Yarrowia lipolytica: one gene and its partner. The protein of the gene in region 1 interacts with the protein of each later gene in a biochemical or structural test. Links are inferred from orthologs where the notes say so. Each region holds a gene or a part of one and is shown on either strand. Other genes may lie near its edges.

The links.
Region 2: of the proteins of YALI1_F01346g (region 1) and YALI1_B04248g, one has a biochemical effect on the other in vitro, tested with the Saccharomyces cerevisiae proteins (6 studies listed by BioGRID, with this or other methods). The link is inferred for Yarrowia lipolytica from reciprocal best matches to the Saccharomyces cerevisiae genes MSG5 and SLT2.

Annotation. Positions count from the first base shown.
Region 1 is NC_090775.1:130,131-138,214, reverse strand, and holds YALI1_F01346g (uncharacterized protein), read left to right. Parts: upstream 1-3,560; coding exon 3,561-4,892; downstream 4,893-8,084. Other genes in the region: YALI1_F01369g (uncharacterized protein), read left to right, coding at 1,219-1,737; YALI1_F01324g (uncharacterized protein), read left to right, coding at 5,620-5,711, 5,759-5,960; YALI1_F01291g (uncharacterized protein), read right to left, coding at 7,199-8,084. UniProt on the Saccharomyces cerevisiae protein: Dual specificity phosphatase that dephosphorylates MAP kinase FUS3 on both a Tyr and a Ser or Thr. Has a role in adaptation to pheromone.
Region 2 is NC_090771.1:420,628-427,140, forward strand, and holds YALI1_B04248g (uncharacterized protein), read left to right. Parts: upstream 1-4,210; coding exon 4,211-5,728; downstream 5,729-6,513. Other genes in the region: YALI1_B04212g (uncharacterized protein), read left to right, coding at 659-1,957; YALI1_B04228g (uncharacterized protein), read left to right, coding at 2,173-2,397, 2,625-3,539. UniProt on the Saccharomyces cerevisiae protein: Serine/threonine protein kinase involved in a signal transduction pathway that plays a role in yeast cell morphogenesis and cell growth.

The DNA of each region.
Region 1 (8,084 bases):
AATCCAACGGTAGTATTTAATCACAGGAGGGCTAGTGAATGAGACTAGTTGATGGGTTCTTAGAGGGGGTTTAAGGTGGTGAATCAGTCGTAACGTTCCTGCGTTACAATAAATGGTACAGTAGCGTGTCTGATGGTGAGTCTAGAGTTCCGAGTACATGACCGAATGAAACGGGAGTTGCGGCTAACAGATATTCACAGAATCCTTGAATGATTAATTGACTTATTTTCCTCATGTCATGTTTTCCTCATGTCAAGTTTTCCTCATGTGGGTATGTTTTCCTCATGTTATATCCTCTGGATGTCCAGTAGGGGCTTTGCTGTTTGACTGAATGGATGGATACTGGGGCAGTAGTCCTGTTACAACTACAGTACTGGTTGCAAATACTCATCTACTGTTGACATGAGTAGTACATACTGTGACACCCAGTACAGACTACAAGTACTTATAGCATGTTATTTCGGGCTCCCCTAAGATGTCGGTTCTTGTCGTTCAGCAACTGAGACACCAACGGTAGATAATCGAATGACCCCGCTGATTACTACTTGTAGTGGGAATGGGCAAGCTGGTGACGCTCCTTTTTACCGCTCTCAAAGGCTCAACACACTCTCGTACTCGTATCTACACATACCAGTACATTGTTCGATTGACATCCAAAGATGAAACATTGACCCCACCATACAAGATTGTCCATTTCTCACAAGTTTTCGGCTCCATCTCTCACACCCACAGTTTACATCTGTGGCTTCTCTTCAAACAAGCTACCTGTACTTGTAGATGATTAGGTTGGCTTGGCTCTCCATTTGAATCCGTCGCTAGCTCGAAAGCAACTCGTATTCGCTTCTCTTTCCGTTCGCTTAGCTTTGCTTCCCCCAGCCTCTCGCGAAGTCGACAAGACGCCGCCTATAGCTACATTTGTAGGTATGTCCTTGAGCTGACACTGTGTGACTACGGGATCAGCTGATGGGTAAGAGTTATGGACACTATCCGCGCTCTACAGTAGTGGCGCTAGGAACTTCAACTAAGGCGGCTCTCCGCGCTACTGCTCTTTGTGATGCTTTAAAACGCCCGTTAGTGTGGCTAGACGTGATTTGTGGGCGTAAGGGTGAGCCCACTGGTGGATAAATGTAGCGTGGACTCCAGATACATACCAGTCTTGATTTTCTTCGCCATTCTCTCCGCCACTCGTGTCTCATTGAATGCAGGTCGTCCACGGAAATGCACCCATGTCGTATCCAAGGTCTCAGAGGACGTGACCATACTCATTCGATGCTGTTCCACATGTCTTTGGTAGCAAGCAAGTGCCGTGTCTCACAAGCGTGCACTTGTACACTTGCTCGACGCACTGATACGACCACAGAGGCTACTAATCGAGCTACAAGTAGAGACAAGTATCGTACATGTCTGGGTGGAGTTGAAGTACAATTCAGCTGTACTCGTACTGTAGGAAGGAACCAAAGGCAGCCAACTATCGACACAGCCCCAGAACATTGGCTTCTGTACGTTCATATCTTGTGCCTTGCTCTGTACCTGCACCAGCACCAGGAACGGATCGAATATGGTAATGCAGCCATACATGATGGACGGTTCGATAGAGAGATTCACTTTGGGGTCGCTCTCTTTTGCCTTTGGTGGGCTCGACAAAGAGGTGGCTGCAAGATGAGATATGGACAGATGAGATGTCCTTGTGAGACTGTAGATCGTGGTGCAGTAGGTGGGAGGGGGGTTCACTTTTGAGTATGTTTGAGAGGAGGTAGTCTGTTTGAAAGCCGTTTGGTCAATCAATTGAGCGATTCTGGGTCGATTTCAGCTTTCCTCTTGTCTCTGCGACCTTTACTTGTCCGTTATACCTGTCTCCTCTCGTCTCGCGTCCATTTCCCATTTAGACCGTGTTCATCGCGACCCAGACCCAGACTACCCTTAACGCATGGTGCCGATCACGCACACCCTTTTCCACACATGGTTTCAGTTTGGAATGATGGTCGACGTGTCCATATCGAGCTTCCTGAGCTCTTCTTCCAGCCTCCTCATGTCAGGGGTACGTGTCATGTGACCGCGTCGGATCCGTTTATAACAATTTTCTGTATGTACTGTAGATGCTAGATGCTCGGTAGACACTTGTGGTTGTCACACTTCCTGTAGAGTCCCATTGGCCCTCCACAAAGGCAGGCAGCCAAATTATGCTGGGGATATTATTTGAAAATGAAGACAAAACAATGCCAATATTACGAGCTAGCGTTTTCTAGTGAAACGTCTTGTGAGAAGACTCTGACAACTGACACACAACTGCTGGAGCCCCCGGAATCTACTCGGATACGTCTACCTTTGGTCGCAGTACAGTTTTATGATTGTAGGGTTATTTTGGCTTGATTTACTCCTTGATTGAGAGACTGGGGAACAGAGCCCCTACGGGCAATACCAAGGAAAAACGGTGCTCGCGCCGGAGTGTGGTACATTCCGAGGCCTTTGCAAGTGGATACCCTGGACAATGTCTGCACGTTGAGCTGGTTCTCGCTGCTGCTCCCACGTTCATACGTCATCCCATACCTCCGTTGAGAGTGGTCCTGAAACCAACAACGAAAAGCGTGCAGGCCTGCCAAATCTAAAACCGCAGGTTTCACTTGGGTGCACTGGTGTCGGTTAGTTTTAGTGCGTGAAAAGATGCATTTAATTTTTGCACGTCTCACGTTGAAACACGGGTGCAAAACAAGGGTGCTTCAGATGCGACTATCAGGAATGAATGTGAGTCGGCGGATGGCTGGAGGGCACGTGTGGCCGAAATCTGGGGGACTTGCAGCTGGTTTCGGACCGTCCTAGCTGGGTATGTACACGTTGTACTGTACGAATGTATGCCGACTCTGTTGATACTCCCCCTCCCGACGCTCCCACACAGTCTTGTGTTGTGCACCCTCCACAGTAACAAGACTATAATCAAGTACTGTAAATCAAGGATGTCAAAAAAAGGACAAAAAGGTCAAAAAGAGACAGTGACAAAGGCAAGGGGTAAAGAGTAAAGGGCGAAGGCAAGGTACGAGTGGAGGACTCTGCTGCCATGACGCCAAAGTGAAAACCGGAAAAATCAATGTTGGGCCCCAAAAAAAAATTACAAATGCCCTGCCCAATCTCGCGGCGCCGTCCTCACGCTCCAAGCTGGCGTTTGGCCATCCCACAATGGATATTTATAGCACCACAGCGCTCACATGGGAGCACAATAAACTCACATGAGCTACCTCCCACATGTGGGTGCGTACACAAAAATAGATCAGAGTGCCAGCCTCAGACGAAGGTTAAAAAACAAGGTGCACACTAACTTTGCCAAAAAGCCAGAATAGACTCCCTTGTACATACATGTATATTGAATATACATTGGCCTCACCACCACCGCACAACACAACACACACACACACCAAAGTGCGACGTACTCACGCCCGAGAACCAACTCATCTGGATACTCGCAACCCCCACGCGCACCCGGCACTCTCCCGCAGCTCTCACGACTCGAGTCCCGTAACGACAGGCCCAGAACCAACCCCAACTCTCCTCACCTCTCCCAGATACCCATGAACTGCTCGGTGGCCGACATGGCGGGTTCGCACGTGCCCTCCAACCACCACCACCCACAAGCACAACAGATACACGATCCCGACGCCATGGACTCGTTGCCGGCGCCGCCGCGCCACCTGCCGTTCCGACCGCCCAAGGGCAAAAACTCCAACACCAAAAACCTGTCGTTGATGGTACCTCAAGGTAGCAACCAGAGCCACAACAGCCACAGCAATAACAATGTCTCGCCGCCTCACACATCTATAGAGCCTTCGATAGCGGCGCCGCTGCCGTTTGTGCTGCCTGTCAGCTCGACGCCCGTGCGAGCGTCCGCCCCCTCGGTTGCTGCTGCTTCTCCTCTGGCAGCCTCCTTCTCGCTGGGACTGTCTCGCAAGGGTTCCGTCAAACGATCCCACGTCGACGCCGAGCCCGAGGACGCAGCCTACGACAGTGACTACCGCAGCGAACACAAAAACTACCACTCCAGAACCTCCCCAAAGAGACAGTCCCCCAGTCCGCAGGTACAACCAGCCGCTTCTGCCACTGTGTCTAGTGTGCCTCCCTTCAGTATGGAACCACCACCGTTTACGATGCAGAGACGAACATCGCAACTGAGTATCAGTATCCCGCTGGCCACGTGCTCCGGCTCAAACACTCTGCCTGCCCCCTTGGGCACCCCGACGTCCCAGTCGCACCATTCCGCCAACTCCGCGGCCTCTCAGCTGTCGCTGTCGGACTCGGAATCGGACCCCAACTCCGATAACACTACACACACTACACCGCCACCAAACTACGACGATGCGCTTCCACCCAGCAAACATCACCTGTTCGCAGAGGAGCTCATGACTCCCTCCGTGCACCATGAGAACGCATACCCAGATGGACCCTTGCTCATCTACCCCAGCAACGTTTACCTGTACTCGGAGCCTTCTGTGGAGCTCGCCCGTACGTTCGACGTGGTCATCAACGTGGCCAAGGAGATTGACAACCCGTTCTCCGAGGAGCAGTATGCTAATGATGGACAGACCAACCCCGAGTACGTCTACGTGCCCTGGGGACACAACTCCAAGTTCCTGCCTGACCTGCCGTATCTCACGCAGCTGATTGATGACAGAAGTGCTGCTGGCAAGCGTGTGCTGGTTCACTGTCAGTGTGGAGTCTCAAGAAGTGCGTCGCTGCTGATCGCTTACATTATGAAGAAGCAGCAGCTTGATCTGAATGCAGCCTATGACTGGGTCAAGTACCGGTCGCCGGAAATCGGACCGAACATGACGTTGATTTTTCAGTTGATGGACTGGCACAAGCATTTGCTGGGCGAAAAGGATGCGTTGGAGAGCGACGAAGATTAGGTGCCAGAGGCTTTTGTCAGTCTAGGCCGGCTACACGCTCAGTTTTATGCGAGCCAGAAGTCCTGCCTTGAATTAGGGCTCTACAGGGGACTTCACCATCGCGACACCCGGTCTACTGAGTCCTGGACCAAAAGCACTCGAGTCTGAGCATTGATGCAGACTATAGGGCTCAGAGGAGGATCATCTGAAATGAGGCCTCCATCTCAAGGCTCATATCTGGAGCTTGTGATCCACAAGATATTTCTCACCAGCTTCAAGGACACTAATCACTTTCCCTCTATGCAACACAGTGCGTTTGTTTGGGGCCTGGGCTCTCACGCGCAGGCTACTGAACCCGTACTTCTACTTTTTGTCACTGGATGACTTCGATGGACACTCAACCCACCATATATTTATTCTATTGCATCTTACTTGCAGATTTCATTTCAATACATCTTGATTTCTATCCGGGGTTGTAATAGAGTGAGGGCTAGCCGTGGCCATCTTGGGCTCCTTTCGGGACTCTCGGGACTTATTTAGGGGTCGTCATGACTTACTTAGGGGCCTCGAGGGTCTCTAGATCATTTGCTTATTTATTCTAATTTATTCTAACTAATTATAATAACTGATTAAGACCACCCTATTATGTACTGTACCGGTACTGTAATCACGAAACGTCTTTCAGACCGTTATATGTGACATTACATACTAGTGCTGATACTGTCACATCTGATACACACACTCTACTATGTTATACACGCTGGTCTGCTATTTATTTTGTACAATTAATTTTTTGTCCCTCTGCATGTCAATATTATGTCGAGTATATCCCATATTGCTGTAATGTAATTACAGTGACTGTCAACAAGTGTCAGTCTGAAGAATAGTATCAGTTATGGAATCGTTCACAAGTATAGTACAAGCTCCGTGCAAGTACTTGTACCGTGTAATCCAGGAACACCACGCCTGCTGCCAGACTCTGACATTTGTCCGGATGTTTCAACTGCACCCTTCACCTTGTGCATGGGACATCTTCTCATGACAGAAAGGGAACAGAGTTCGGTTGGTGCACAATTATTACGTCACTGAGACGGGTGGGCAAGACACGGTTGCCACCATGTATAACAGCTGTCTCTGGCCATCTCCATCTGACATGCCTCATGTATCTGGGATGGGCTCTGGCACCTCGGCGGAAGAAGCAAAAGCAAACCGATGTGACAGGCAAAGCCAGTGCTGTACAGTACATACTTGTAGGCGGCGGGACATATGTCATCAGCCATCACAGATGACCGGATACAAGTATGACTGTACCTTGACAACAGGTCTGGGCACTTGTACGAGTATGCATGCACCAAGTGCTCTATTAATAGTGTAGACTCTGTCTCCTCTCATACACACACAAATCCGGCCATCTGCACAACCCGTTGCATGCGTTTTTCCGAGTGGAGATGATAGAAGCGTGAGTAGCAAAGCCGTGGAGACCAACGGTGGCGTATATAGATTTTTGATTTTTGATTTTTTGAATTTTCACTTTTTCATCCGAAATATGACTCTCTAATGTCATCGGTCCCAAAAATCACGTGAACCTGAATATGAAAATCTGTAGCCGATTGGTAGATGATCATCATATGGTATGTAGTTCTGCCAGTAGATCTACAAGTACTTGTACGATACTCGCAACGCCCCATGACTCTTCGGAAACCGTGACCCGGGTCACCTCACCACTGTCTCTGTTTCAAAACAAAACGGCTGAAACAGAAACATGTAGCCGAGACGCTCCAAACACAGATAATTGATCCTTACTGTAGACTGCAATACGAGCTGGGTGCGTGCGCAACGGTGTGGGAACTCGACAAGATGAGGGGACAACTTAGTGCTGCACCTCTCTTGATGTGCGTTCGGCACGAGTTCATGTACTGTACGATGGGTACGAGAAGCGAGGAGTCTACAATGTCGGTTAATTGACTCTCTCAAGAGAGTACTGTACGATTCAAGTGCACTAGAGTAATCGTACCCTTGGGCATGTTAACAATAGGCACCCGTCCTGAACAGGTTCTGTACAGGTACGAGTTGGTACAAAGAGTAGCGTCTAGCGTCTAGCCCTGTTGTTCGGTATACACGGGTAACTTACATTCCTGAAGAACTATCTATAAGTAGCCTCCTACATACTCGCATCACCCACTTCAACCAGAGCCGTATTAAAACCGTTTACTTTCTCTTCTCAAAGTAAAGGCTACAGGGCTCTTGCAAGCGGCCTCTCACTACCGCGCGTCCGTTTATACTCATTAACTATTCATCTAATTCATGTCCACAGCCCGTCTCCTACCCTATGCGTGAGCCTTCTTGATTTCGGCAATGTCCTCCAGAGCCTTGGTGGAAAAGTAGCGCACGTCCACATCGCCGTCGGTGGAAAGCCGCTCCAGGTGGGGGATCACGGTCGATGTGCAAATCTCCTCAATCACCTCAGGCGAGCTGATCTTCTCCTCGTGCAGAGCCCGCACCAACTCTGTGTACGTCTTGGCCACATTGAAACGGATGTTGGGGATGGGGTCGTTGATGAGCTCGGCAATGAACGGCAGAATGGATGTCTTGATCATCGACTCGTCCACCACGGGGATGAGTGTGGTCACGGCACAGAGGGCCGTGAGTCGGTACAGGTAGTTGGAATCCGCAGCAACGACGATAATGTGGGGCAGAATCTCGTCCTTGGCCCAGTCCACACCAAACACCTTGGTCAGCTTCTTGAGGTTCTGTGTGGCGGCCTCTCGAATCGAGTAGACGCTGTCCCACAGCCAGGTCATGCACAGGGGACCCAGCTCCTTGTCGAAGAAGGAGACGCCCAGCTGTGTGGCCAGCAGAGGGATGTACTCGATGATGGCCAGGCGCACTCGCCACTGCTTGTCCTGCGCGAGATCCGAGACTGCAGGAAGCAGACTCTGGCTCAGTAGATCAATACCAATCACCTTGTTGACCAGATGAAGCTTGGAAATAATGTTGAGCCGCACATCGGGGAAGTCATCCTTGAGCATCTGCAGAAATGTAGGCAGCAGAGTCTCAATTGTCTTCTCCTTGCCGAGCAGCGGTGCCAGGGCCGAGATCTCGGAGCCCAGAGCAGCCCGCACGTGCTGGGACGAGTCCTGAGATAGTTCCTCGACGTTGGCAACAATCTTGTCGAGGTTGGCGGGGGTAACGAGCCGGCAGAAGCCAGGCACC
Region 2 (6,513 bases), on another chromosome or scaffold:
GCACAAAGCTTAACCAATTCTGAACAGATTGTGATTACGGTGATAAAAGACGGAGAGGAGTGGATAATGTAACATTTGATAGCTTTGGTGACTTCTTGATGAGACATTGAATGGGAATGTGTAAAAAAATGTGCTTCGATTCATACAGAAATCCTCCCAAAAGAAGCTTGCTGTGTTTTACTTAAGTAGCTGTTAACTGTATTATTGAAGTTGTAGTTCACATTAGTTAGGCAATGGAGGAGAAGCCCTCTCTCGGTTGATGTGGGCCAATAGTGACAATTTTTCAGCAAGTTATTCTCACATCCATTTGATTGTACCAGAAACAAAATTGACTACATATTTGTTTGATAAATTCACATTCGAGAGACCAAAAGTTGTGGAGGTAGACCGAACCTAGATTCAGCAGGCCCCCAACTGGTCATTGGAGGCCCCCTTCTTCATCAATTGAAGAAAAAATCAGGGAAACGAGCTACATTATTGCAATTGTCTACTCTCAGGCAGTCTATTTCGGTCTGCTCACTTTCCATCCACCTACCACTATCATCCCACCATCTTCCGCACCGACACTGCCAAAGTTTCACTGTGCATAACCATACAGGCTTATCATCACACTTGGACATACAACTCATCTCTTCATACAGCTTCGTGTTCAACAAGAATGACTTTCAGTGAACCTCAGAAACGCATTTCTTCGGCCGCCGATGTCGACTCCTTCAAGCGATCTCAGCCTTACGCCACCATCATCTCGTTACTGGACAAGTACTCGTCTACAGTTCAAGAGCATCTTCTGCCCCCCAATGAAGACGAGCTAGCGGCCAGTTCCAAGGCTCTCGTCACTTTGTGTCGCAAACTCAGTGCTCTTATTGACGAAACGCCACCGCTGGAGGGCCCTCGGCGATTTGGAAACGTCGCTGTTAGAGACTGGCATGACAAGATGGAGGCCCAAACTACAGCTCTACTGACAGAGGCGTTCCCTAGCATCAACAAGGACTCGATTATCGAGCTACAATACTACCTCCACGGGGGAATGGGCTCGAAACAGCGTCTGGATTTTGGAACAGGCCATGAGCTCTCATTCATGGCATTTGTGGGGGGCCTTCAGAAACTGGGTCTCCTGGAAACAGATCTGCCTGCTCCAGACGTGCTCTTCATCTTTGAGACATACTTTGTGCTTGTCAGAAAACTTATCATGACATACTCTCTGGAACCTGCTGGATCTCACGGAGTTTGGGGTTTGGATGACCACTCCCATCTCCCTTACATTCTTGGATCGGCTCAGAAGGTGTCACGATCAGTAACTGCATCTACCCTTCTGGTTCCCACAAAGTACGATAAAGAGTGTCCCCCTTCGAGTGTCATGAATCCTCGAATCGTCCAGCAGCAAAAGACTACCAACCTGTACTTTGCAGCTATTGCCTTCATTTACGATATCAAGTCTGGCCCCTTCTATGAGCACTCCCCCATCCTCTACGATATTTCTGGAATTGCCACCTGGGCTAAGATCCACTCAGGAATGATCAAAATGTACATTGCAGAAGTTCTGGGAAAGTTCCCTGTTGTCCAGCACTTTTACTTTGGTTCAGAGCTATATCCCTGGAAGGATACTGAAGGTAACGACCTGCCCTACTCCAAGGTGGAGGACGAAGAGCCCGTCAAGCCCAAGCTTCCCCTTGGATTCAAGTCCAAGAAGGAACCGCAGACTACTCCTCATGCTCGTTTGCCACTTATGGGCCCAAGAGGTATGCCAATGGAGACTGTGGAGCGTCTAGCTCGTCGAGACGGTCAGCGTGCAGCGAGAGAGAAGGAGGAGAGAGAGGACAGGGCTAGTGGGGGTGCTTCTGGCACTACTGGAGCTCCTGGTGCAACTGCATTGCCTCCCACCAGAGCTCCGGGCTCAAGTGTTCCTGGAGGAGATGCACCAGGCATGGCCCCCACGAAAGCTCCTTGGGCTAAATAGGAAGATGAAATGCATCAATAGTGTCCATGTCGTCACTACAGTAGTTACAGTATTGTAATTATACTGTACTTGTACTATAGTGTATGTCATACAGTGCCCCACCTTAACAGACAGGTGACTCGTATGGAAGTCTAAAAATCCACCTTATCTTTACTGTATATATAAGTGACAGTCCCTTCTTTGGTTTGAGCTGTTTGTACAAGTACACCCAACTTATGACGCGCATGTTATTTCTTCTTCCAGTACTGCTGCTACTTCAGCTAGCACAGGCCCGCAACATGATCTTGCAGCTCAAAAACGAGACGCATCTCTCCGACTTCTTCACCCTGAATCCGCACTTTCTGGCTCATTTCGACAAGTACCACAGTTTCGGCAACTTCCAGGCTCTTGCCGGGGACATCCCCAGTTCTCTGGTCTACGCCCTTGCCAAGAACTTGATGGTGAGTGATACCTTTTGATACCCCTTCGGATGTGGTGTTGTGTAACACAGACTATGTGATGTGATACTTGAGATTACTAGAGATTGAGCAGATGTGATATCGAGATGTCTATCAACGTGTATACTCTAAGGCTGATGCAGCAGTTTGTAACATACAAACTATCACTGCTACGTACGAGTATAACCAAGTTGTCCCCTCTATCAATAACCTGTCAGTCACTAACACAGATCAAAGATTGGACCTTCGACATCGATGTCAAGATTTACGACGTTCAGGCCAACGCTCCTCGCCACCTTGCCCGAACATCCAACCTCGAGCCCATCAGCGCCTTCGGTCCCCAGGACTTTGTCCACGACCCTTCCGACGGAAGCGGCGTCGACATCTACATTCTAGATACTGGAGTGCGTCATCAGCACATTGAATTTGAGAACCGAGGCAAACCAGGTCGAGACTTCACCGGCGAGGGCATGGGTGATCAAAACGGCCATGGCACCCATGTTGCCGGCCTAGCTGCGTCTAAGACCTACGGTATAGCGAAAAAGGCCAACATCATTGATGTCAAGGTCACTGGAGAGGACGGTATGGGAGCCCTCTCATCTGTACTCGCCGGTTTGGAGTGGGCCGCGGCTGAGATCCATCGGAACGGCCGTCCCGCGGTTATCAACATGAGTTTGGGAGCACCTAAGAACTCGGTGTTCAACGCTGCGGTCGAGGCTGCGATCGACTCTGGCATTCCTGTGGTGGTGGCTGCAGGCAACACCAACACCCCTGCGTGTCTGGACTCGCCTGCTAGTGCTAACGGGGTTCTGACCGTCGGGGCGTTTGACGACAGGACGGACACGATTGCCAGCTTCTCCAACTGGGGCCAGTGTGTGGACATTTTTGCGCCCGGCGTAGAGGTGATTTCGCTGTCGAACCAGAACAATCGGGGCACAGTGGCTCAGTCTGGCTCGTCCATGTCGGCTCCACTTGCCGCAGGGTTAGTGGCATATTACCTTGGCATGGGAGACGAGCCCCACAAGGCCATGACACGAATACGAGACTGGGCCAACATGAACCGGCTGAGTCGTCGGGGCATGATGTTCAAGCCGTTTACGCCCAACAAGATTCTGTTCAATTTGGCCGGAGAGCCACTATGGTGACATCTAGTGGTAAAAATATCTGACTTACTTCCGTATTATTAGTCAGGTATTTAAGGTTGATGACGACGCAGCAAGTTGCAGTGGAAGTCTATGTGTATTACCGAGGGGGGCGAGGAGGAACGGTGAGTGGGAGGTGGGAGGGTGAGCGAAATTGTGCTATTGGGAGGTATAATAAATGGAGGTGACATGAGCAAGCAGGCCGACGAAGAGAGGGCGGGGTGGGTAGCTAACGGTGTGGGCACGCGACAGGATTCACCATAGACGAGTAGCTGTAGATGATAGGCTGTATCGATTTCCAGAGGGGCGAGAAAAAGAAAATGGCCGATTAGCTAGCATCAACTTTTTCTACTTTCTAGTTTATTCTCCGCAATGACGTACAGTTCGAAATTCAGTTTGGTTTGGCTTGGTGTGATAATTCACTCTATCCAAGTCTGACTTTATCATCCACCTCACCTGAAAATAGACGAGTCGACCAGACCAGTGTTACTTCCAGGAACGATCAATCGACCGCGAGCATTTTTACGGACTACTTCGGGATTATTGACGGCCTTGACACGCGACTTTTGCACGAGACCTTTTTTTGCACACACGAACTTTGACCTTTTGGACCTCTCTCTCAACAGACTAGACACATCCGCACCCACTCATTCGCTACACGTTACGACACCACCATGATACGAGCGGACCGACACACGTACAAGGTGTTCAACCAGGAATTCACCATAGACAAGCGGTTCCAGGTGACCAAAGAGCTGGGCCATGGCGCGTACGGCATTGTGTGTGCAGCCAAGTACACTGGGACGCCTGATGGGCCTGGAGTTGCTATCAAGAAGGTGACCAACATTTTCTCGAAAAACATTCTGTGTAAGCGGGCGTTGCGGGAGCTCAAGCTACTGAACCACTTCCGGGGGCACAAGAACATCACCTGTCTGTACGATATGGACATTGTGGACACCAACAATTTCAACGAGCTGTATCTGTACGAAGAGCTCATGGAGTGCGATATGCATCAGATCATCCGGTCCGGCCAGCCTCTGACTGACGCCCATTACCAGTCGTTTGTTTACCAGATTCTCGCCGGTGTCAAGTACATTCATTCCGCCGATGTTCTCCATCGGGATCTTAAACCCGGCAATTTGCTGGTTAACGCCGACTGTGAGCTCAAGATTTGCGATTTCGGACTTGCGCGTGGATTCTCTTCCGACGACGAAAAGAATGCCGGTTTCCTGACAGAATACGTCGCCACCCGGTGGTACAGAGCCCCGGAGATCATGCTCTCTTTCCAGTCTTACACAAAGGCCATTGACATCTGGTCCGTGGGCTGCATTCTGGCCGAGCTTCTGGGAGGAAAGCCGCTGTTCAAGGGCAAGAACTACGTCGACCAGCTCAATCAAATTCTGCACTACCTCGGAACGCCCTCGGAGGAGACTCTCAAGCGAATCGGCAGTCCCAGAGCCCAGGAGTACGTTCGGGGTCTTCCCTTCATGCCCAAGATTCCCTTTTCCACGCTATTCCCCACCGCCAACCCCGAGGCTCTGGATCTGCTGGAGAAAATGCTTGCCTTCGATCCTGCGGAGCGAGTGACGGTTGAGGAGGCTCTTGAGCACCCCTACCTGAAGATCTGGCACGATCCCCGAGATGAGCCTGTGTGTCCCACTCCGTTCGACTTCTCGTTCGAGGAGGTCAATGACATGGAGGCAATGAAGCAGATGATTCTGGACGAGGTTGTGGACTTCCGGGCCATGGTTCGAAAGCCTGTCGATGAGCAGACACGAATCAGAGACGAGCAGATCGAGGAGCAGCGGAGAGAGGAGGAGAAGCAGGAGGTGGAGAGACAACAGAAGGAGGCTGAACGTCAGAAGCAACACCAGCAGGAAGCTGAGAGACAGCAACACCAGCAGCAGCAACATCACCCTCAACAGCAGGACTCTCCATCCACCCTGTCGGGCTTCTCGGACTCGGACCAGTCTGCTAACCCCCACTTTTACGAGTACGCCGGCTTTGGAGTCGGCTCACAGACCTCGGACATGGGCCAGCCACCCGTCATTCAGCGAAAGGACTCTCTGGGTATCCCCGAGGAGGACTTCAAGTACCAGGACCCGCCACCAAAGCCCCAGGAGTCCGGACGCCAGGGAGATGGCGACCTGGAGCTCGAGCTGGAGTACGGCTTGGATGGATGGAGAAGTTGATTTTGGTGAAAAGACGTTTGGATATTTTAATGGTAGGGGCAGGCAGGATATGATACTTATAGAGTGTAATATAATGGCATGATGAGACGACATGGGGGAGGTAGATTGGAAGATGGGATGCCTTGTTTCTCGCACAGACGGTCTTTATGTGTTAATATTAAACAGCTACGAGTGCTGATGAGAGAGTACGAAATGCGGTGTTCGAAAGGGGTCACTGATCTATTGCACTGCTGGAGAGCGGATATCGCAGAGGTTAAGAAGACATACTGTGTTGACCAAGGAGAGGCTCCAAGAGGGGGCTGGTTGTGGCCGTCCCTTTACAAGTACTGTATGTACAGTACATCATGTATATTAATAATAGTGGTGGTACCCGGTCAGCACAATAGTGACCTACATACTCTGGTGTCAGTTCAATCTTCTGCTTCCTCTTTCAGTGACTGTTTTCTCGGTATATATTGTACTTGTACTTCAAGGCCGTGTGGACCTGTTCTACAGTAAGTGCGAATACTCCATGTCTATCAAGCCGTCTTTTTTGTTTTTTCTGTCTTTTTTCACCACCATGCTGAATCTCATACAAAGTACGTTAATTATACACAGTACGATCTGAGATGGAGCTGAAGCCATGAGATTTGATCAAAGAAAATGTTTGAACTGTTAGAAGCAGATCGAGCGATTTGATTCCGTCATTAATCTTCTGTTTCTCAGTATTCACGTCCATCCATTCGTTAATGATTCCATCATCTTCATCTCTCGCGCACATCCACCCCCGCTGTTGCCACATCTGT